Canis lupus familiaris: one gene and its partners. The protein of the gene in region 5 interacts with the protein of the main gene of each other region in a pairwise test. Links are inferred from orthologs where the notes say so. Each region holds a gene or a part of one and is shown on either strand. Other genes may lie near its edges. The genes, in order: RPA2, BMX, GADD45GIP1, SRI, STAT3 and BLK.

The links.
Region 1: the proteins of STAT3 (region 5) and RPA2 interact in a two-hybrid assay, tested with the Homo sapiens proteins (2 studies listed by BioGRID and IntAct, with this or other methods). The link is inferred for Canis lupus familiaris from reciprocal best matches to the Homo sapiens genes STAT3 and RPA2.
Region 2: the proteins of STAT3 (region 5) and BMX interact in binary tests that used the Homo sapiens proteins (3 or more experiments, as listed by UniProt). The link is inferred for Canis lupus familiaris from reciprocal best matches to the Homo sapiens genes STAT3 and BMX.
Region 3: the proteins of STAT3 (region 5) and GADD45GIP1 interact in binary tests that used the Homo sapiens proteins (3 or more experiments, as listed by UniProt). The link is inferred for Canis lupus familiaris from reciprocal best matches to the Homo sapiens genes STAT3 and GADD45GIP1.
Region 4: the proteins of STAT3 (region 5) and SRI interact in binary tests that used the Homo sapiens proteins (3 or more experiments, as listed by UniProt). The link is inferred for Canis lupus familiaris from reciprocal best matches to the Homo sapiens genes STAT3 and SRI.
Region 6: the proteins of STAT3 (region 5) and BLK interact in binary tests that used the Homo sapiens proteins (3 or more experiments, as listed by UniProt). The link is inferred for Canis lupus familiaris from reciprocal best matches to the Homo sapiens genes STAT3 and BLK.

The regions. Positions count from the first base shown.
Region 1 is NC_049223.1:71,871,097-71,874,507, forward strand, and holds the end of RPA2 (replication protein A 32 kDa subunit), read left to right. Parts: intron 1-472; coding exon 473-580; intron 581-761; coding exon 762-856; intron 857-1,158; exon of another isoform or gene 1,159-1,345; coding exon of another isoform or gene 1,346-1,488; intron 1,489-2,171; coding exon 2,172-2,256; 3' UTR 2,257-2,911; downstream 2,912-3,411. Other genes in the region: protein THEMIS2, read right to left, coding at 1,346-1,488. UniProt on the Homo sapiens protein: As part of the heterotrimeric replication protein A complex (RPA/RP-A), binds and stabilizes single-stranded DNA intermediates that form during DNA replication or upon DNA stress.
Region 2 is NC_049260.1:11,831,767-11,835,266, forward strand, and holds part of BMX (cytoplasmic tyrosine-protein kinase BMX), read left to right. Parts: intron 1-2,765; coding exon 2,766-2,923; intron 2,924-3,500. UniProt on the Homo sapiens protein: Non-receptor tyrosine kinase that plays central but diverse modulatory roles in various signaling processes involved in the regulation of actin reorganization, cell migration, cell proliferation and survival, cell adhesion, and apoptosis.
Region 3 is NC_049241.1:49,637,586-49,641,425, forward strand, and holds GADD45GIP1 (growth arrest and DNA damage-inducible proteins-interacting protein 1), read left to right. Parts: upstream 1-1,470; 5' UTR 1,471-1,491; coding exon 1,492-1,841; intron 1,842-2,982; coding exon 2,983-3,292; 3' UTR 3,293-3,340; downstream 3,341-3,840. UniProt on the Homo sapiens protein: Acts as a negative regulator of G1 to S cell cycle phase progression by inhibiting cyclin-dependent kinases. Inhibitory effects are additive with GADD45 proteins but also occur in the absence of GADD45 proteins.
Region 4 is NC_049235.1:14,252,280-14,256,476, reverse strand, and holds the start of SRI (sorcin), read left to right. Parts: upstream 1-1,397; 5' UTR 1,398-1,412; coding exon 1,413-1,715; intron 1,716-1,871; exon of another isoform or gene 1,872-1,932; coding exon of another isoform or gene 1,933-1,983; intron 1,984-2,862; coding exon 2,863-2,946; intron 2,947-4,197. UniProt on the Homo sapiens protein: Calcium-binding protein that modulates excitation-contraction coupling in the heart. Contributes to calcium homeostasis in the heart sarcoplasmic reticulum. Modulates the activity of RYR2 calcium channels.
Region 5 is NC_049230.1:20,483,442-20,486,941, forward strand, and holds part of STAT3 (signal transducer and activator of transcription 3), read left to right. Parts: intron 1-2,533; coding exon 2,534-2,576; intron 2,577-2,859; coding exon 2,860-2,972; intron 2,973-3,500. UniProt on the Homo sapiens protein: Signal transducer and transcription activator that mediates cellular responses to interleukins, KITLG/SCF, LEP and other growth factors. Once activated, recruits coactivators, such as NCOA1 or MED1, to the promoter region of the target gene.
Region 6 is NC_049246.1:26,504,762-26,508,261, reverse strand, and holds part of BLK (tyrosine-protein kinase Blk), read left to right. Parts: intron 1-759; coding exon 760-811; intron 812-2,569; coding exon 2,570-2,663; intron 2,664-3,500. UniProt on the Homo sapiens protein: Non-receptor tyrosine kinase involved in B-lymphocyte development, differentiation and signaling. B-cell receptor (BCR) signaling requires a tight regulation of several protein tyrosine kinases and phosphatases, and associated coreceptors.

The DNA of each region.
Region 1 (3,411 bases), on a different chromosome or scaffold from region 5:
TTCAATAATACAGATTTTTTATTAAATAATTATTTTTAAAGATTTTATTTATTTATTCATGAGAGAGAGGCAGAGACACAGGCAGAGGGAGAAGGTAAAAACAAGCCATAAATAATAAATAAGTGCATGTTTGAATAGTAAAGTACCAAGGATAAATAAAGACTATTATAGCAAATCTCCAGGTAATTTTCTTCTCGATGCTAGTTTTCCTCTGGTTCCCCTCAGCAAAAATAAGGAGCTAAGAGGTACCTTTCTCTCTGTTTGATATTCTGTGCTTCAAAGAGTCACTTTATCTTCCCTTGAAATACTTGTTAATGATGACAGTCATCCTTTCCAGTGTAAGCAATTGTTATTGGGAGAATGGCTTAAATTATTTTTGTGAGCTGCTTAATCAACAGGCTATCTAACAATAACAAGGACTGTGTTTAAATTGGTAAATTTTCTAACACTGTGAACTTCTTTCTTAATTCAGCCCCCAGCAGGGAGAGCACCTATCAGCAATCCAGGAATGGGTGAAACAGGAAACTTTGGTGGGATTAGCTCCATCCCAGCAAATGGCCTCACTGTGGCCCAAAACCAGGTAAACACTGTGTGGCTCCAGAAATTCAAGACACAGGCAGTCTTAAATTTGTTACTTCCCTAATGAATCTCTAAGGTTAGGGACCTGAACCATTTCTTTCTTATAAAGGGACTCAGGTTTACATAAAGAAGTTGATTCAGAGTAGTTGCTAAAATCTTTCTCATTTGAATTGAATCTTCAGGTGCTGAATTTGATTAAGGCTTGTCCAAGACCTGAAGGATTAAACTTTCAGGATCTCAAGAACCAGCTTCAACACATGTCTGTAGCCTCAATTAAGTGAGTATTTGGTTTCTAACAACTGGAGCTCTAGAATTGTACCCATTTCAACTCACCAGGGTTTCCTGATAATGAGAAGTGAATTAAAAATAAAAATAGAACTGTCAGCTGCAGTCTCATTGACAGAAGGGAAGTTGTTCAGTCATGGAAACATAAAAAAAGAACTCAAAATGATGGTGCTTCCCGTCACATCACTGATTAACTTGTTCATTTTTTTTTTTTTTTAATTTATTTATGATAGTCACAGAGAGAGAGAGAGACAGAGACACAGGCAGAGGGAGAAGCAGGCTCCATGCACCGGGAGCCCGATGTGGGATTCGATCCCAGGTCTCCAGGATCGTGCCCTGGGCCAAAGGCAGGCGCCAAACCGCTGTGCCACCCAGGGATCCCTAACTTGTTCATTTAACAAACAGTGATTCCCATTATGGGCAAGGGATATAATTTTGTCAAAGTTGACCAGATAAAATTTGACCTGGAGGAGTGAGATCTTCAGCTCCTGGTCCTCACATGTATTGTCCCATTGGTGTTACTGTTTCCACTGTGGAGATGTGCATTTGACTGTCTGAACCTGAAACCATAGAGCGTCCTTCCAACATCTTTTGTTTCCATGTTAGACAAGCAGCTTCCTGATCCTGATGAAAGAATCAAACAAGCAGAGTATTTTGGTGCATTTTGTTAGTGTAAATCACTTGATATTCTAGGTTTACACAGAAAAGAAAGGCTTGGGTCTAATTTCATTTCCTGTTTTATAAAATGAAGATATTAATTCATATCTCAGAGTTCCAGTGATGATGAGGTACAGAAACACTGTCATGTAGTAGTTGCTCTGTAAATTATTGCTGTTATTAAATAGGCAGTTAATACTATTAATATTATTAAACATGTTACAGATACTGATCCTGAGAGCCTTAAAGGGTATGAAGGTGTTCTATTGTTTCTGCAAAAGGTCTTTCCTTTATGTCCTTCAACTTCCCAGAGGGTTGGTGGGAGGAGGAACTTTGAAAAATAGGTGTTTATACTAGGAGTTTTATGTGCATGCGGACTATATTCTTAGATCCTTGTTTCAATTTGCATAGATTGGCATTTGAGTTAGGCTCTATTTTCTTGCCTTTATACCATTTGGTAGAGGGGTCCAGGGCAGCTCTGTTAGCTATTGTCTCCATGCATTGTTTCAGTTTTGCAATTTTACTCGCACTTCTCCCCGCAAGAGTCCCCTGTGAGCAAAATCTGTGTTTGGCCATACCCAAAAGACAGTTTCCTTTCTTCTGCATCAGTTTGATAATGAGCCTTTTTTTTTTTCTTTCTTTCTTTCTAGGCAAGCTGTGGATTTTCTTAGCAATGAGGGCCACATCTATTCCACTGTGGATGATGATCATTTTAAATCCACAGATGCAGACTAACTGGATCTAATTGAGTACTCCAGGTATTTTCCAGCTGGACCAGATTTCATAATCTGTTGTCTCCAACTGTGCATATGTTTGGTCAGTTGACGTCTAGGGAGTAGGTTTCATCTAGAAAGGGTCTCATTTAACATCCTTTTGAAACTTAGTGCTCTGGCTTTTTTGTTTTGTTTTGTTTATTTTTTTTTGTTTTTAATTTTTGTTTTTATGAAGCTCAATTTTGGGCAGTTGATGAGAATATAAACCTGGGTGGACTTTCTTAAAGTTACGAATCAGCCATTTACAACATCAGGACTGATGGAAGTGGGAGAGACATACTACCAAGAGAGTTGGGCAGTATTAATTAAAGAATACTCAGGAGTTTCTGCTCCTATAATGTTCCCTGTTGAGAGAAGATGAGCAGAACTAGGGCCTTCAGCAGGGAGCTAGCCAAAAAACCTGCTAACCTCTGCCTGGTTTTGTTCCACCCTTTAGTTGGCTATATGGTATTATTTTCAGAATTGCACTTTCCTTCACCTTGTCATGACTGCTGCCGAAAGTGTGTTTTTATGAACATGAAGTTCTAGAGTCGTGACCTCATGAGAGGAGAGGGGAGAAAGAAATATTTCGATTTCAATACAAAATCCATATGTTTAATAAAAGTTCTATTGCAGAATCTGTGGAAATGTTTTTTTTTTTATTCCTAAGATGGTATAATTAATACTTTTATAATCTGAGATGTGTAGCATAGCTTGACTTGGGTTTGATATCTTGGCTTTCCCATATTTAGTTAGGATCTTGGGTAGACTACGTCAGTTCTAAAGGCCTCCCATTTCCTTATTTATGAAGAGAACTGTGTCATTTCCTCATAGGTGTGTCGTGAAGATTGAGCAAAATAAGGTTTGTAAAGCATCTACCATTGCCATTAGTAGAGGTTATAAAGTGAACCTTAATCTTGACTCTAGCAATATATGGTCACGTAACTGAATTGAATATCTATTATTTAACCTCGAGATGAGACTATCTAAAGGCCTGCAGCCTTTGGTGAGCTTAATCAGTTCTATTTCTTACAAGAGAGCAAACTAGCTCAAAGATGTTTTTGACAACTCCAGAATGTAAGGTACATCTTGAATAAAAGAACTAATTCTGAGGTAAGTTAATGAGATGTAACATGCA
Region 2 (3,500 bases), on a different chromosome or scaffold from region 5:
TTTTTTTTTAAGATTTTATTTATTTATTCATGAGAGACACAGAGAGAGAGAGAGAGGCAGAGACACAGGCAGAGGGAGAAGCAGGCTCCATGCAGGGAGCCCGATGCGGGACTCGACCCCAGGACCCCAGGATCATGACCTGAGCCAAAGGCAGACGCTCAACTGCTGAGCTTCCCACGCGTCCCCCTCTAACAGTTTTTAGAGAGGAGCCCTTAAAAACTAGAACCGAGTTTGCGTGAAACCCAAAATGTTGAAGGGCTTGAGATGTAGTCTTGGACGTCCTGCATGAAAGCAGCTGTGACCACCATCCCCTTTGGCATCGACCAACCCTTTGGGCATGCCTGGTGCAAGCCCCAAACACGGCTCGGTGCTGTGTGCAGCTCATACTCATTTCAGCTAGCATCCTCGTTAAAATTCATCACTAGATCAGGGGTCAGCAAACCTTGGCCCGGGACCAAACCCAGTGGCCTGTTGCTGTAAATAAAGTTGTCCTGGAGCAAGCCTTGCCCACTCGTTCCTGTATTGTGTCTGATTTCCTACTGTAACCGCAGAGTGGGGTAGTTGCCAGAGATGCTGTACCACCTACAGAGTTTAAAAATACCTGCTATGTGACCCTTCACAGAAAAGGTTTGCTGACCCCTATTTTATTAAAGAGCCATACTGAAATTGAGTAAAGGTAATTAGAGGACAGAAATGATTCTTAAGTTGCGATTAGGTGGATTTTCTGATCTTTCTATGCTACGAGAAACGTCAGGCCTGCTTACGATCACTGTCAGAGGGATGCAGGGTAAATTATCCAAATTATCATAAAGTTATGGATATATGAACTGCAACTGAGACCTATTGCATGTCTATCTTGGTCCATAAGCATAATTTGACTTTTTATATGACATCCAAAAGACTGCATGAGTAAAAGAAAATTTAGTTAGCCATTTATTTTTTTACACGACACACATTTTTAAAATACTACTTTTGTCAAAGTAGTATCGTTCACTTAAAAAAATAATTCAATGTACGCAGAAGAAAGAAAAGCCACGAAGATAGCATTGTGGTGAATACTTGACATCCTTTATGGGCTGATTAACTTGTCAAAATTAGTTTCACTCTCCATGTGTTGATACGCCTTATGAAAGATGCTTTTAAAACTCAGTATCCTTACTCAAGAGTTACAGTTTGTTTTTGACCAAAAAGTGGCATCACCGGGCTTGATTACTCCCCCTAGGAACTAGAAGTTGGCTCCGGATATTTTCTGGCTATTTGCAAACACTAAATCCATTCAGAAGTAATTTGTTTCCAATGAGGACATTCAAAATGAACCAGGGCCTCTGAAAACAATTTTTTTTTTTTTGAAAACAATTCTCAAAGGAGAGGAGGCTCAAAGGAGAGGAGGCCCCACGGATATTTGAAACAATATTACTTTTGGGATAAGTGGATTTGAATATTTGAATTTGTGGATTTGAATAAGTGGATTTGAATATTTGAAACAATATTACTTTTGGGATAAGTGGACCTTCAAAGACAGAACTGTGAAGGGAGCAGTATACTCTTGGATGGTTGTTTTAGAAGGTTGTTTAAAAAAAAAATACAGGGCAGCCGGGATGGCTCAGCAGTTAGCATCACCTTCAGCCCAGGGCCTGATCCTGGAGTCGTGAGATCGAGTCCCACGTCGGGCTCCCTGTGTGGAGCCTGCTTCTCCTTCTGCCTCTGTGTGTGTGTGTGTGTGTGTGTGTGTGTGTGTGTGTGTGTGTCTCATGAATAAATAATAAAATCTTAAAAAAAAACAGCCACAGCAACTTGTAATATTGCCTTATTGTAAATATTTTACATAAAATCTGTGGCCCTGAAAGTCAAAGAAATTTTGAAGTTAGTCCTTCAGGTACGGTTCTAGAATAATTTTCTTCCTTCTTACATATTTCTGGCTGCCCAAAGTCTCGAAGCTGGCCGACTGTTGAAATCCTGCGGCTAGGCCGGGACGACAGCACACTGGCCACCACGCAGGGAGCACGCGTAGCGGCAGGTGCTTTCTCCTGGCCGTGCTCGCGGCAACCCTGGGACGTGCCCCCCCCCCCCCCGCCGGGGAGGAGACGGGAGCGTGCTCGGAGGGTGGCTGAGGCGCTGCCAGGCCTGTAAGCGGCAGAGGCGAGCTCGAGGCCGCAGCCGCCGCGGCCAGGACCCCGTATCTAGACCCGGAGTCCGCGGCGGCCTCCGAGGGGCTTCGGGACACCGTGACCATCCAGAGAGCGAGCACAGACGTGCCGGGCACTCACGTTCCCGAGAGAGAGCCAGTGGTGGTGATCAGAGTCTCAAAAGGACACCTGACCCACAACATACCAGGGACCATCGAGGCAAAAGGAGGAATTTTGTCAGTGATCTTTCCTGTAAATCCGCTCGGGCGGCCGATTTGACGGGGCGGTGAGACGTGGCACAGCCGCCGAGGCAGAGAGAAAGGAGGGGCTGGGCTGGGGTTGTCTGTCCGGGGGTGCGGGGGGACGAGGCCCCAGCCGCCTCTCGGAAGCACCCCGGAATCTTGGCCCCCAGTAGCCCCCCTGCAGCTGCCTTCCCGATGGCCCGCTGGCCGGCAAGAGGAGGACCGTGGAGAAGGGACGGTGGGCTCCGGAGGCGAGGGCACAGGGCCACCTTCCACGCCCGGGCCTCTGGCTGGGACTGGTTCCCCGGGCTCCCTCGCCCCGGCCGGAGCCTCCCCGAGCCTGCACCTGCTGACACGGCCTTTCCTTTGTCCGCCGGCCGCCCTCCGTGTGCCGTAGGGATCCTGATGTGGGAAGTGTTCAGCCTGGGGAAGCAGCCCTACGACCTGTACGACAACTCGCAGGTGGTTGTGAAGGTCTCCCAGGGCCACCGGCTCTACCGGCCCCAACTGGCGTCGGACACCGTCTACCAGATCATGTACGGCTGCTGGCACGAGGCAAGTGCACCCCGGGGGGCCGGCGGCGGGTGCGCCCAGGGCGGTTGCCCAGGACCCGTGGGCCGGGCCGCTTTGACCGAAGCGCCTGCCCCGGGCGGGCCCAACGGGCCTCAAGCGTTCGGGAGTGAAACCCAGCAGCGCGGCCGCGCAGGTGCAGGTGCAGGTGCAGGTGCAGGGGCTACCAGCGTAACGAGCCACTTACGTCCAGCACCGTTTGAAGAACTTCATAAATATATATATTTTAAAGATTTTATTTATTTATTCATGAGAGAGAGAGAGGCAGAGACACAGGCAGAGGGAGGAGCAGGCTCCACGCAGGGAACCTGACGTGGGACTCGATCCCGGGACTCCAGGATCACGCCCTGGGCCCAAGGCAGGTGCTAAACCACTGAGTCACCCAGGGATCCCTAGAACTTCATAAATATTAACCCATTTGTTCATCAGGCAACATACTAGGAAGTACGTGCTATCGCGGCCAAAACTAAGAGGAGAGGGGCAGCCCGGGAGGCTCAGTGGTTTAGCGGCGCCTTCGGCCCAGGGCCTGATCCTGGAGACCCGGGATCGAGTCCCACATCAG
Region 3 (3,840 bases), on a different chromosome or scaffold from region 5:
ATCTCCAGAACTTTTTCATCTTCTCACACAGATACTCTGTCCCCATTAAACACTAACTCCCATTCTTTGTCTCTTCTGTCCCTGCCAACCACCATTCTACTCTCTGTCTCTATGAATTTGGCTATTCCAAAGACCTCATATAAGCAGAATCACATAAAATACGTCCTCTTGTGACTGGCTTATTTCACTCATCGTAATGTCTTCCAGGTTCATCCGTGTTGTATCATGAGACAGAACTTCCTTCCTTCCCTTTTTTTTTTTTTTTAAGATTTTATTTATTTATTAATGAGAGACACAGAGACATAGGCAGAGGGAGAAGCAGGCTCCACGCAGGGAGCCCGATATGGGACTTGATCCCAGGACCCTGGGATCATGTCCTGAGCCAAAGGCAGGTGCTCAACCGCTGAGCCACCCAGGTGTCCCCGAATTTCCTTTCTTTTTAAGGCAGAAATCCTGTTTTCAAAAAACACTGTTTAATTGCTACCCCATGGTTAAATATTTTAAATATTTTTAAATATGAATAATTAAATTAGGGGCGCCTGGGTGGCTCAGTGGGTGAGCATCTGCCTTTGGCTCAGGTTATGATCTGGAGGTCCTGGGATTGAGCCCTGCTTTCAGGGAACCTACTTCTCCCTTGCCCTCTGCCACTCCCCCTGCTTGTGTTCTTTCACTCTCTCAAATAAATGTTTAAAAATTAAAAGGCACAAAGTAACAAGATGTTTACAATAAAATTTAAAATAAAATTTCTACAGAAATATCTTAATCATACAACTTTAAATATTTTAAAGTATAAATTTAAATATTTAAAATAATTGTCTTGGTGAGGCTTTAAATAATTCTTTAAAATGAAAATCTTGAGATCTTAAAAAAAATTTTTTTTAATATTTTATTTATTCATGAGACAGAGACGCAGAGACACAGGCAGAGGGAGAAGCAGGTTCCAGGTAGGGAGAGTGATGTGAGACTCGATCCCTGAGCCACCCAGGCGTCCCTTCAAAATCAAATTTAAAAGCACAAAATAAAGCATAAAAATAAATATCTAATGTTATGTATGAACAATATTCGAGTATTTAAAATGGAATTTAAATATTTTAACGAACATCTTAAAAAGACTCTAGTTAAAATATAAAGTAATATGTAGATTGAAATTCAAACTGAAGCAATATTTAAATTTTTAAGTAGTTTGAAATTTAGACATTTAAATTTTGAAAGAAATCAAATGCTACTTTAAATGTATAAAAGTAAAATTTGGTATAATTTTAAGAAATAGCTACTAAAATAAAATTTTAAATTTTATTTAAAATAAATAAGAGATGAGATGTATAAAAAAATGTATGTTTGAGATGTATAAAAATATATTACCCCCTTCTCTCCCCTGCCTGGGGCTGGGGCACAGGACGCCCCTCGCTCCGCCCCGGCGGCCATCGGACCTCGCGCGCAGGCAGTGCGGTGGCCAGCCCGGCCGGCCCGCGAGGACCCCGCACAGCCAAGATGGCGGCGCCCGTGCGGCGAGCGCGCTGCCTGCTAGGGCTGCCGGCGAACCTGGGCCGCGGCTCCCGTGATTACCGGGCGCCGCCGCCCCCACGCCGCTTGCCAGGGCCCTGGTGGCCAGACCCGGACGACCCGCTGACCCCGCGCTGGCAGCTGGGGCCGCGCTATGCGGCCAAGCAGTTCGCGCGGCACGGCGCCGCCTCCGGGGTGGCCCCCGGTTCTCTGTGGCCGTCGCGGGAGCAGCTGCGCGAGCTGGAAGCTGAGGAGCGCGAATGGTGCCCGAGCCTCGCGGCCATGCAGGAGTCGCTGCGGGTGCAGCAGCTGGCGGCGGAGCAGAAGCGTCAGGCCAGGTGTGTGCGGTCGGGCAGGCGCGGGGCTGTGGGCGGAGGCCCTCCTGTGTGCAAGGCTTTCCCAGGTGCTGAGCACATAGCAGAGAACAAGATAATTTCAGATGGCAACAGTGAACCATTAGGAAGATAAAATTGGGTGGAAAATATGTGTGCTGCAGAGCGACTCTGGCTTGTGAGACCTAGAAACTCTCTTAAGAACTCGATCCTTAGGGACTTGACCAGACATAGCGGTGGAGAGATCTTAGGGAGAGTGTTCCTGGTAGCAGGAACAGCTGGTGCAAAGGCCCTGAGGTAGGAATATGCTAAGGTCAGTGTGGCGGGGGACGAATGGGAAGTGATGGGGCCTGGAATCAATGCAGAGGTTGGACTTGGAGACAGGTCTTAAGCATTGGGCTTGAAAGAACTCAAGACTAGGAAAGAAAGTCGGGATGCTGCCACTTCGGGAGGGAGCAGGCCAAGTGCCCTCCTGGTTTTCATTGTTCTTGTCCTCGTAATAGCTGTAGGAGTACGAGAGCATCACCCTCATTTTAGAGATGAGAAACTGAGGCCTGGAAGTTTGGAGTCATATGTCTAGTCACCCCATCAATGAACAGTGGAGCTAGAATGTGAACCTCAGTCTCTGTCCCATCCCAGCTGGATAACCCTGCTGTGGGGCTTTAGATCTTTCAGCTTCATGTTTCTAATCCTCAAAATGGGGACTGTGACTGGCACCTACAAACTCACAGAACTGGAAGGAAAGATCCAATCCATTTCTTGCCTTTACAACTGGGCCTGGCATACAGGAGGTGCTCAGCGATGTCTGCAGGATGAGAGTGTGCTGTGGGAAAGGCCATATGGTGTGTAGCTCTGGGATGGCTCAGTAGACAGCTCAGTGAAACACTGAGTTGACTTGAGGTCTCCCCTGAGGGGTTTAGTGCTCTTGTGCTCAGGGTCATACACAAGTTAATCCACCTCTCCTGCCTGTTACTTCGCTTGTCAAGGACTTTTCCTGACAGTTTTAACGACCCCCGGAAGCCTTCCCAGTTTTTCATCTGAGTTAGAGGAATCAGAATGTGGGCAGACTAGGGGTGGGCTGTGGTTGGATGGGTGCTCCTCTTCTGGCTGGCTCTTGCTATCTTCACCACTCTACCCTCCCCTGCAGGGAGCAGCTCATTGCAGAGCGCATGGCCAAGATGCCACAGATGATTGAGAACTGGCGGCGGCAGCAGCAGGAGCGCAGGGAGAAGGAACAGGCAGACAAGGAGAGGCGGGCCCGACTGCAGGCCGAGGCCCAGGAGCGCCTGGGCTACCACGTGGACCCAAGGAGTGCCCGCTTCCAGGAGCTGCTGCAGGACCTGGAGAAGCAGCAGCGCAAACGCCTCAAGGAGGAGAAACAAAGACAGAAGAAGGAGGCACGAGCTGCGGCACTGGCCACTGCTATGGCCCAAGACTCTGCAGCACCCAGCTCCTGAGCTAGCCTTTCCCAATAAAACCTGCCACCTGATGGCCCCAGCCCTGGAGAATTCTGTGTCCTCTCTCATCATGCCCCTTCCTCAGCGCCCCAACACCTGTGGCCAGGAGCCCCCCACCCTTCTGGGCTTGGCTTCCTTGGGGACTCTAGGCCATGCTAACTGGGGCTTCAGGGGAAGAAAAGGGGTTGCGGTGGGGGAAAATAATGCAGGAGCAGATGGCAGAAGAGAAGAAGGCTTCTGTTTACCAACATTAATCTCCAGTAATTAGCCAATTACTAGGGGGGGAAGTGTAGCCAAAACAGACTGTGGTGGTGATGGTGGGGGGCAGGGAGAAGCAGCCCTTCCAAGGCTAGGCTGGGGCCCACTGCCTGGGAATGAGACAGCCTCAGAGGGGGGTGTGAGACACTGGGAGCCCCAAACTGCAGAGGCCAACGGACCACTGCCATATCACCTGTGCCCAACTAGCCCCCAGACCCAGACGAGCTGGAACAGGAAGCCCCAGTAGGCACACACCACCGGACTGGCTTTTAAAACTTTATTCACTTCAA
Region 4 (4,197 bases), on a different chromosome or scaffold from region 5:
AAATCTTGCGATATGCTGCAACATGGATAAATTTCAAGGACATTATGCCAAGTGAAATAAGCCAATCACAAAAAGACAAATACCTGGTTATTGTAATCATATGAGGTATCTGAAATAATCAAGCTCATAGAAACAGAAAGTAGAATACTGGTTGCTAGGGGCTGGAGGAAGGAGAAATGGGGAGTGGCTGTTCAAGGGGTATAGATTTTGTCAGGCAAGATGAAAAACCTTAGAGACCCTGCGGTACCACACTGTGCATGCAGTCAACAATACTGTATCGTACTCTTAAAAATTGGTTGAGAGGGTAGACAGATCTCCCGTGCGTTGTTCTTACATACATACATACATAGAAAAAAAGAACCCCACAGAGGTCAAAGGACTCATAAAATGTCTAATCTATCTTGATAATCGCTTTGGTATTTGAAAACAATAGTCTACTTCCTACTTCCTAAATCAAACCTAAAACAGTTAATCCAGTGCAGCCCCAGGGGTCCAGGGGTTTAGCGCCGCCTTCAGCCCAGGGCCTGATCCTGGAAACCAGGGATCGAGTCCCACATCGGGCTCCCTGCATGGAGCCTGCTTCTCCCTCTGCCTGTGTCTCTGTCTCTCTCTGTGTCTCTCATGAATAAATAAAATCTTAAAAAAAAAAAAAAAGGTAATCTATAGTTTATTTGATATGTAACAACGGGGATTATAAAAATTGTTCTGACAGTTCAGGAGTTTCATTTTTGGAGTCTGATTATCCAAAAAGGGGACTTGGAAGGAAGAGAAAAACAATGACCCCAGTGGGAACACAGCCCGGGGACTTGGAGTGGAGGAACCCCGTCTACCATGCTGAGCAAGCACATCACCACACTCTGCAGGTGATCCAGTATTTGTTAAATGTTGATGACGCTCAATTTTTCCGTGCAACCGCCATAGCAAATACCCTGAATGTTGCTCATGAATGCATTTCTTTCTTTTTCTTTTTTTTTTTATGAATGCATTTCTTAAAACGATAAAATTCAGGGGGAAAAAAAATTCTTTAGGACTGAAATTACATGAGACGAAACCAAACGAAAATCTGACACCTGAATTGCTCACATCGGACTGTTCAACCAGGCGAGAAAGGAAAACGTATGCAGAGAACCATTTTCCGAATCTACCTCCGGGAAGAGTTCTAACCTCTCACCTTCCGATTTACCAGCACACTCCTAGCTGTAGTTTCCTCGTATAAAAAAGTAGCTGAGTAATTTTTTGGGAAGAGTGGTCGTATCGCCTGAATCATCGAGATAACTCTAACACCTCCTTCCCCGAGAGCCTGGGCGGGGAGGCCCTGCCAGTGAGTGGCCTCTGTCCTCCCTGGGTGTCGCCGCAGCTGAACCAGGACCGGACTGGGTGCCCTCGCGGTGAACTGTGCAACCGCAAGCCAAATGCTCTCTCGCACACAGTTCCTGAAGCTTTTTCCTGTTTTCCAAGGGCGTTTCCATGTTTTGCTCTTTCCACGCCCCCCTCCCTCCCAGGCGTGCAGGAGCGGCCCCTGGGGCCAGCGTGCAGCCCCTGCCTCCCAAAAGCGCCCTCCGCCGGGAGCCCGGGAGCCCGGGAGGCCCGACAGCCGAAGCCGCCCGCAAGGCTCGGGAGCGTCAGAACCGAGGCAGCAGGACGAAATCGAGAATCCCCGGGGCGCCGCCCTGGGTTGGGACGTGCCATTCGTGGCGCGGGGAGGAAGGCGGCGGGTGAGCGCCGCGCCGCGGGCCCCGGGCAGTCAGAGCGGGGCGGGCGCCCGCGGGGCCGGGACAGCGCGGGGCGGGGGGCGGGGGGCGGGGCCGGGGCCGGGGCCGGGGCCGGGGGCGGCTCGGGCGCGCGTCCCCCCCCGCCCGGGTGGTGCGCTCCGGGGGCGGCCCCGGCGGGAGGGAGGCGGCGCGGCGGCGCGGCGGCGGCGCAGTCTGCACCATGGCGTACCCGGGGCACCCTGGCGCCGGCGGCGGGTACTACCCGGGCGGGGTAAGTGGAGCCCGCGCGCGCTTGCGGTCGGGCCGCGGCCCCGGGGCCCCGTGGACGCCGGGAGGCCGCCCTGGGCCGCTCCGCGGGGCGGTGCCTCGCCGCAGGCCCTTGCCGCTCGGCCCCATCCTCAGGCCCCCTCCTCCTCCCCGCCTCTTCGCGCTGCGGGCGGCCGCGTGGGGGCCGAGGCGCGGGGGTGGGGGTGGGGGTGGGGGGTGGGGGGTGATGGCCCGGGAAGCCCCCCACGCCCCCTCCCCGGTGCCTGGGATGCGCGGCCTTGGGTATCGGCTTCCTCCCCCTCCCGGTTTCTTCCCCTGAGAGCAAACAGCCATTTTAATCTCGAAGGGTCCGGAGAGCCACCTCCCCTCTTTGAAAGCAAGTGAGAGATTTTTTTTAAAAGTCGGGGAAAGCCCTGGCGGAGGGAGGCCTCCTCTCGCGGCGCCGGGGTCGCGCGTCGTCCGCCCCACGGCCCAACCCAGACCCCGAAGCCGGGGTGCACCTGTCCCGGGCCGCCGCGAAAGATCCCTTAAACGCTCTAAAAGTAGAAGGAGAACACTTCGCGCCCCGCTCTTAAGTTGCTCGTCGCGGTTGCGTTTCCTCGGTAACCTGCAGGCCGGTGGGGAGCTTTAGAGTCGCTTCCCGTAGGCGGCTGGCACGATCTGCACGACTCACCGTGGTCCAAGCTGCCGGCGTTTGAATCCTGATGCGGTGAGAACGGAGAGAAGGGGTGGAATGATTGCAGCTAAAGCGTGCCCGGTGCTGGGGAGGCGAACCATCCCTGCGGAGGGCGGGCAGTTGCCTGCCTTTGCACAAAAGCATTCAGTGGTGAAAGAATAAAACTGGATTCAGCGGAATGATGCTGTTGTGCTTATTGTTTTACAGTATGGAGGGGCCCCCGGAGGACCTACGTTTCCCGGACAAACTCAGGATCCGCTCTATGGTTACTTTGCTGCCGTAGCTGGACAGGTTAGCTTTTCCCCTTAATATTCAAGAATTGTCAGAGTCTGCCTCTGTATTAGCCATGGTTAGAGTGGGATGGAAAAAAGAACTTTCCTCTGGAAAAGAATCCCTTTGCTTCTGTAAAAGAGAAAAAGAGAGAAGGAAATGGATAGTTACTTATTTGTGAATATTCAGAACAAATAGGACAAAGTGTTGCCTGTATTTATGTTAGTTCAATTCAAACTAAACATGTGATTGAATTAGGGTCAGATTAAACAGGAATAGGGGGTTATAAATATATTGTGAAGATCTGTGAAGTAGAAAGATGTTATTAGGACTATGAATTGTCAGGGTCCATGGTGGTTTCCAGAGGAGAAATTCTAGATCTGACGACCACAAGCCCTTGTTTGTACAACTTGAAGACACATACCGGTAATTATGAAGTCAGATTCTAATGAACACTTTTTTGGGTTGAATTCGATTGTTAATCAGTTACCCCCTAAGAAATAGGTTCTTGTGTTAGACTACCAGCTTCAAAATAAGAAAGTTATTACTGCCTTACTGTGAGGAAGTTAATCTTGTGAGCAGTTTGGTTTCTCTTTAAGGCTGATGCCTATTCTAGGTCAGCTCTTCCATGTCCTTAAAAGGTGTTGTGGCCTGTTGACCGAGAGAGACCCAAGTGTTAGCTCCTGGAGACCTTTCACTTCTCTTGGTTGAGCTGTAGGACGGGGTGGTGTACGTTGAGGGAGGACACATCCCTTGCTCACCAGGACACTGTGTACAGTAAATACACCGCTGGTATAACCCAGACATGTCCAGAAGGGATGTTTAGTCTTAGAAATTCGATTTTGCTTTGTTTTGATCAAAAACAAGAAATAACATAATCTTCATGTGAAGATGCTATCAAATGTTATGGGATAAAAACCCAAGGCCGCCTTTCAGAACAGCATTCTGAGAAATATAGTTGAAGAAATTGAGTGGAAAATTGTGTCTAAAACTGAAAGAGCTTCCCTTGAAGTATCTGCTTAATCTGTTAGTGATCTGTATCTTTGAAACCACAAGACAGGGCAAAGCTCAAGACTTGAGTTCTTAGATTGCCTATCCTTCCAGTCCTGTAAATGACCCCACCTGCTTACCTTGCAGCGGCCCTGGCCTACAGCAGCATATCCATTGTCTTTCACATTATTGTTCCTGCTCCTTGGTTAGAATCTACGATATGCCTGGACTTGAGGCTTGGGGTATTTTATTTTTTAAATCCCTAAAAGTAACATCTGTCTA
Region 5 (3,500 bases):
TCCACAGTAAGTTTGTAAGGGTTAGTGTTGTCATCAGTGCGGAGGGGGGGCTCTGCTAGTCTGTCCCATCCGAATTTGCTTCTTTGGCTCCCTGGGTTCTTCTCCATCCATATCCTGATGGGGAATCTATGATTTGCCATTCTTTGTTTTTATTTCACTTCCCTTAATAAGAGAGCCTTCTGGGGGCTCCTTAAAGTCATCCTTTGAGGGTAGCTTCCCTACCCCAGTTGCTTTTGGAAAAACTGTTTTTATGTAAGGACCTCAAGCACGCACACACCCACCTTTTCCTAGGAATCCCCTCTGAGGAATTTCTTGGGATGGGGGAAGACTGGGACTTGGAAGAGGGAATTTGAGTTACTTGATAATTGGCTTCCCTCATTTCTCTGCTCTAGTGCTGGGTTTTGTTCATACTATAGGAGAGCTAACTCTCACTTCCTGTCTGCTACTTATCTTGCTTTGCAGCCGTGCTTCAGTTGGGAGATCTGTTTATCAGCCTCGACACACTACTCTTTGTTCCTTTTGCAGAGGACATTTAGGTCCAAGTGCTGGTCCTTTGGCTCATTTTGCTTTCATGATCCAAGTTCCCAATCTGAGGCCATGCCCTCCATTATCATCAGCCATCCTGCGTGACCGGGAGGCAAGGTCCTTTCCTGCCTATAGTCACCGGTGTTTTCTCAGGGGCAAGACTCCAGGCATGAGAAAGGAACCAATTACTTGAGTGCTCTGCCCACCTCCTGGGGAGGCGAGTGTAGGCAGTGGGCACTGGAGGGCTTGGTGTGGTGGGAGCATGACGAGGGGATGGGCCCAGTGCTACGGGAGTGCCTGCATTAAAGTGGGAGTCCTCTGGGAGATGGGTCTGTGCCCATCATTTCCTCTTGATTTCCATTATGAAAATATTTTTGTCCCCAGGGACAGATCATCTTCCCAGGTCTCTTCTTTCCTCCTTACTTCTCCACCAGACCCCTCAATGGCTTGAAGGAGAAAGTCCTCTCTTAGAAACAAAAGCCCCCTTACCTTACAAAATGGATGAAGTATATTGACAACCTTGTACGCAGCCATAGCTCCGCTTCGAGTCTGGGCTCTCCTCTGTTTCTGGTCTTGCTGAATCTCAGGCCGAGGCTCATTTTCTCTGCTATCTGATCACTGAGGAACTAAATCCTTTTCTGTCAGGGATGTCAGCTCCCCTCAGGTCTATGCCACAGTGGATTTATGACACCAGAACCCTGCCTGGGTAGTGTCTTTGGATTCTGCACCATGTGAATCTATTTCTTGGCCCCAGATAACCTTGGAAGGCAGTCTAGTGACCCCCTGACAATGGCTTTTCTCAGATTGTCAGCATACTTTCTGCCTCCTTAGTCTCTCTATAAACCACAAGCTTTACAGTTGTGCTGCTCTTGGCCCACCCCACACCTACCCCACCCCTGGCTCACACCTCCTAAGTGATTTGCTCACCTGAATCCCTCAGATTTCATGCCAGTGTCTCCAAGCTCCTTGACCTCTTGGTGTAAAGATTTAGCACCTAAATTCATTTATTCCAGTCCTCACATTTCTAACTACGGAATAAGAATTATAAATGACCGGGGCGCCTGGGTGGCTCTTGTCAGTTAAGCGTCTGCCTTTGGCTCACGTCATCATCCCAGGGTCCTGGGATCGAGCCTCGCATTGGGCTCTGCTCAGTGAGGAGTCTGCTTCTCCCTCTCCCTCTGCCTATTTGTGCACACATGCATATGCACTCTCTCTGTCAAATAAAATGTTTAAAAGATAAATTATAAATGACAGAGATGGGCACCTCCCTCTTCCCCTCCCTTTTAGAGGAGAAAGTGCTTTGCCCTGGGTGTCTTAGCTGTGGGAGACATAATGAGGCCCCCTGTCTTCAGCCCAGAGTGGATGGTACTGCCACACCAGGCAGGCTCCCTTAAGAGAGAGGCTGCTTTTTGTGTGATTTCACTATCCAAATGGGGAGTTACTAATATAGCTCATCTGAAAAGTAGTAGAGGCAGATGGATGCCCATTAGGAATGAAAGGTGTGACTCTGGGCCTTTCCGAACAGCACGAGCAATTTCCCCATTCTCTTCAAGACTTGGCGACTTTGGCATCTGAGCAGGACTGTGGTATCAGAGCCCAGACAGGATAGGCTCCAATCCCACCTGCAGAGACGTTATCTAAAAGACTCAGCCAGGCCAGAACACAGTCCTCAGATCACATGCAGGCAGGTCAGTGCTCACATCATCTAGGGAAAGAATGAACGCAAGGTTCTAGGCTCAGGTGGGACCAGGGTGTGCTGAAAAGTCTCTGCACGTCAGGAAGGCTTTATGGAAAAAGTTCACCTGCCAAGCTGCAAGCTCCTCGCTGGAACCCCAAGTCATACAGGGTGGTGGGCGGGCAGCCCTGAGGGGAGATGGGGTTCAAAACAACCTCTGCTCCAGGATGAGGTGAGATGCATGTCAGCCAGCGCCGTGAGGCAGCCAGCTTCCTCCTGCCCTCTACCCACAGTGGGGTCGCAATTAGTAAGTCCCACTTCTCTTCTTCCCAGGTGCTGCCCCATACCTGAAGACCAAGTTTATCTGTGTGACACCGTAAGTGGCTTCCCTTCTCAATTTGGCCTTCATTTCTGGTGTCCTCAGTTATCCTGGGAGTAGGACACTGGGTGAGAGCTACCCTGTGAAGGGCCCGAATGCCCTGGGCTCTGTGTAGTACTCAAAGTGATCTTGCGTGTTTAAAAAGCTTGAGCTTTTATTTTTCTGTTGGAGACCAGAGTTTGATGGCTTGTGTGTGTGTGTTTTGTTCTTTTTTTTTTTTTCTCCATTGTGTCTTGTCAACCCGGCCCTTTCCCCTCCTGCTGCTCCCCATTTCCTACAGAACGACGTGCAGCAATACCATTGACCTGCCGATGTCCCCCCGCACTTTAGATTCATTGATGCAGTTTGGAAATAATGGTGAAGGTGCTGAGCCCTCAGCAGGAGGGCAGTTCGGTGAGTGTTTGGTGACAGACTTGGGCCTTAGGAGGGAAGTCTGTCCCCTTTGTGTGGCCAGCCAGCCCAGAGCTGGCCCCCCATGCACTGGTAGAAAGAGGCTGTACAGCAACACTTTCCCTTAGAAACCAAATGCGCACCATGCCTGTGAGTGCAAATTTCCTAGTAGCAACATGGGAAATAGCAATAAGAAACAGTGAGGTTAACGTCAATAATATCTTTTCTGTAACCCAATAAATCCCCAATACTAGCATCTTAACACATAAGAAAAAGTTAATGAGGTTTTTTGAGGGGGTACTAAATCTTTGAAACCTGCTGGGTGTTTTACAGCAACGACCCATCTCGATTGGCACTAGCCACATTTTGATGTTCAGTAGCCACCTGTGGCTCCAGGCTGCCGCATTGAACAGGACAGCTTTAGATCTTCTTTACACATGGACAGTGAGGAACAAGTTAAGGGATGAAGGGGACTGAGCCCTTCCAGAAGATAAGACCCTGTAGGGAGGAGAGTCCATCTGGATTATCGGG
Region 6 (3,500 bases), on a different chromosome or scaffold from region 5:
TTTTGCTTTTTCTGTATCATTACATGTGTGCATACTCCTAAAGACCATTTAGTTTAATTCTGCCCATTATGAACTTTCAATCAATCGAATCAAACAGCATGCGTTCTTCTGAGAACGGGTTGTCACATCTGCGTTACGTTTGCGAACTTCATCCACGATGATGCATGCAGCTAGATAGAGCTCAGGAGCTCCAAAGGTGGCAGAGAATTTCCTTGCATGACTCCGCCCCAGTTTGCTTATTTTTCTGTCATTAGTCATAAGGATGCTTCCCACCCTTTACAATTTTTATGTATTATTACAATTCTTTGCTGGGAGCATTCCCATACATGTTTCCTGGTACACATGTGCAAAAGTTTCTCTACAGGGAATAAACCTAGGGATATATTTGTGGAGTTTTAGGGAAATGCACTTTCAGAATAATTTTCCTGAGAATAAATACCCTTTTGCAACTTCATCATTTAATGGCAGAAGCAGCATTTGAATCCAGGTGATCATACTTTCCACCACTCCCACCCCAGTTCCATAGCTCCCTCTTACAAAGCGCACAGCCCTCTCCTCTAGCCTAGTGTATGGTCCAGGGGTCTTGTGAGGTGGTACTGGTCCCTGAGGAGCTGAAATAGCAGCTCCCTACAGACTATCCAGCGGACAGGTGCCAGCAGCCTCCTTGTCACACCAGGCCCTGCCCAGGCCTTGGGGGTTGAACTAATACAGCGTGTGTGTGTGTGTGTGTGTGTGTGTGTGTGTGCACTTCTGCTCCAGATCCTGTTTAACCACCTGACTCCTGCACCTCCAGACGCATGCTTGGACCAAGGTAAGAAGGTGCTGCCCTGGAAGCTGAGGCTCTACAGGCCACCTTCCTTGGGCCTGGGCTGGGTGCAGGCATAACAGGGGCTCAGTTAGCAGCAGCTTCCTGGAGAGGATAGGGCCAGCTCTCAAGGGTCGGAGATGAGAAGGCTGGGGATGGGGGGAGGGTGCTGCAGCAGGCAGAGCTAAGGGTGCCTCCCAGCCTTGCCCCAGGCTCCTCCTGCCCAAGGCCTCTCCAGGAACCAAGCCCTATTTCTGTACCTGAGCTGGGGTGGATTTTTTTTTTTTTAAAAAAGACTTTACAAACCGTAAATGAGACACAAAGAAAAGCATTACAGTACATACAAACAGCATAAAAATAAACCCAAGCTTTCAAAGATTCTAACTCCCAACCTCAAAAGGCAAAGGCCGATGGGTCTGTCTTCCCTCCTGCCCTCTGTCCCGTGTACAGAAACACCATCTTTCCCCCCACTTGCCCACCTACAAAAGCCTCTGCTGACCTTCTGACCACTCACCCCTCCACACACGCACACACCGTCTCTACTTCCATTCGGATGGGTACGAGGACAGTTGGCAGTTGCCTAAGGAGTGACCTTGGCCCTCCTGGGCCAGGGGTTTGGACCTTGGAGACACTCACAGGATGGCAGCATTGTTCGGAACTGGCTTACAGGAGAGCTGCACCCCAGCACCCTCATGACCCACCTGCACACAGCACCAGGAGCTCTCCAGGGCATGCACCAAGCAAACAGTACCCAGAGCCTGGCTCTGTCTGAATACTGGGGAAGCTGAAATATTGAATCAGACACGGCTCCTCCCTGAAAGAGCTCAGAGTCTGTCCAACTCATGAGCAAAGGCTGAAACGGGATTAGTTATCTTACCTGCTGTTTCTCATCCCTGCTGGGGGAATCACAATTAATTCCCGCAGGGTTTATCCTTCACTTCCTCCCAGGGGGCTCACATCTCCATAAGGAAGCCCCTGGGAAAACAATACACTAACCGCCTTTGGTACAATAACTCAAATCTCAGAACTGGAGGAGGCCACTGTCATCTATTCCAATCCCCTCTCCCCACCGTGGGGAGGTAACTGGCCCATCACACCACACATCAGTGACAAAGCTGAGTCATCCACTCCTAGGTAAGCTAGGTGGCCTCCAAGTGACCTGGAAAAGGGGTCTTGGCACCCTGGAGGTGTATAGAAAAGCCCTCCCCATTAGCAGGGGCTATTTGAACATCCATTCCAGGCACCAGCAGCGAGTCGGGGGTACTGCTGCCGGGGGCCCTGTGACACTGCCTTGGGCAGGTTACAGATCACTGCTAAGGTGGCCATGTTTCCATGAGCACTACCCCCTTTGGAATAGAGGTGGGAAGGGGCAGGCAGGGAAGGGGAAGAGAAGGGAAGCTCATGGGCCTCTGGGCCAGTAAGGAATCAGCCAACGTGCATTCCCAAACGGGATTGCAGCCACCAGCCCCATACAGCCAGTCTCCCTAGATCTTCAGGCCGCCACTCCCCTAGAGCATGGCCCTGTCCAGCCTGAGGCCTTCGACGTGGAGACCTTGTTGCCGGCAGCAAGGTCAGGAGGCCCATCTGCCAAACAGGAGTTTCCTCTGCTGTGTGGGTGGGTGAGAAGGCGCACCACAGCTGCCCCTCACCCCTGTGTCATCCTGACCTGGGGTAACCGGAGAGGGCCCACAGCACAGACTCACCCAGGCCCTGCCCTTACGCTGCTGGGCTGGAGCGTGCGGATCTCTTCCTTGTTCCCTCCAGAGGAGCGTTTCGTGGTGGCCCTGTATGACTACAGCTCAGTGAATGACAGGGACCTGCAGATGCTGAAGGGAGAGAAGCTGCAGATACTGAAGGAGTAAGTTTCTGGAATGTGGCCCCGCGGTCAGAGGCCTCTGTGTCTGCCTATCACGGCAGGACTGCCCGCCAGCCTGACCTGGTCGTCGTCCTCCTAGCTGCCATTCCGAAGTCTTCCTCACAGGGTGGTTTCCATTCGCTATCTCCCGCCCCACTGTCAAAATCCTACTCCTCCTTCAAAACCCACCTCGAACATCACCTCCTCCGTGAAGCCCTCCCAACGGGCACAGCGCTTGCCTGGCTGCTCCACCACTGCGTTGTGTGTCTCCCTTGCCAGACAAGACCTCGCGCAGGATTCCACCCATGAAATCAGCTCTATTCCCAGTGTTCCCTGTTCCCTCTCAGAAACTCCTCCAAAGTCTGCTCTCTCTCAAATGTCTGGCTTGCTCTGTGGAATCCTGTGGTTCTACTTGTGTTCTTGAACTTCTACAGTGGCCTTGAGCCCAAAGCGCGAAAGCCCCGATCTTCTGGGCCCATGTAGGCCGCCGGCTCCCCCTTTGGGCAGCAGTTCTCTGCTCTTGCTTTTGTCTTTCCCGTTCAGTCCCAACTCACTAAATTTGAAATCTGTCCCATTAATCAAGATCAAGGCTACTCACTGAAGACAGGGGCCTTCTGTGGGGGTCAGGCTGCCTGGACAAACTCTTCCCCTAGAGGCTGCATCACCCCCTTCCTCCCAGGACCAGGGACCCCTTGGGCCTGTCAGATGCTCAGCAAGTTAGCACCCCTTCACTGAGCCTGTACAGGTTCGCTCTTGCGGGCCCTCCGGGAATCCTCTGCCTCGGGAATGACATTGTTGTGGGGAGAGGGCTGTAGGGTGACCCCAACAGAGGCCTGCCTG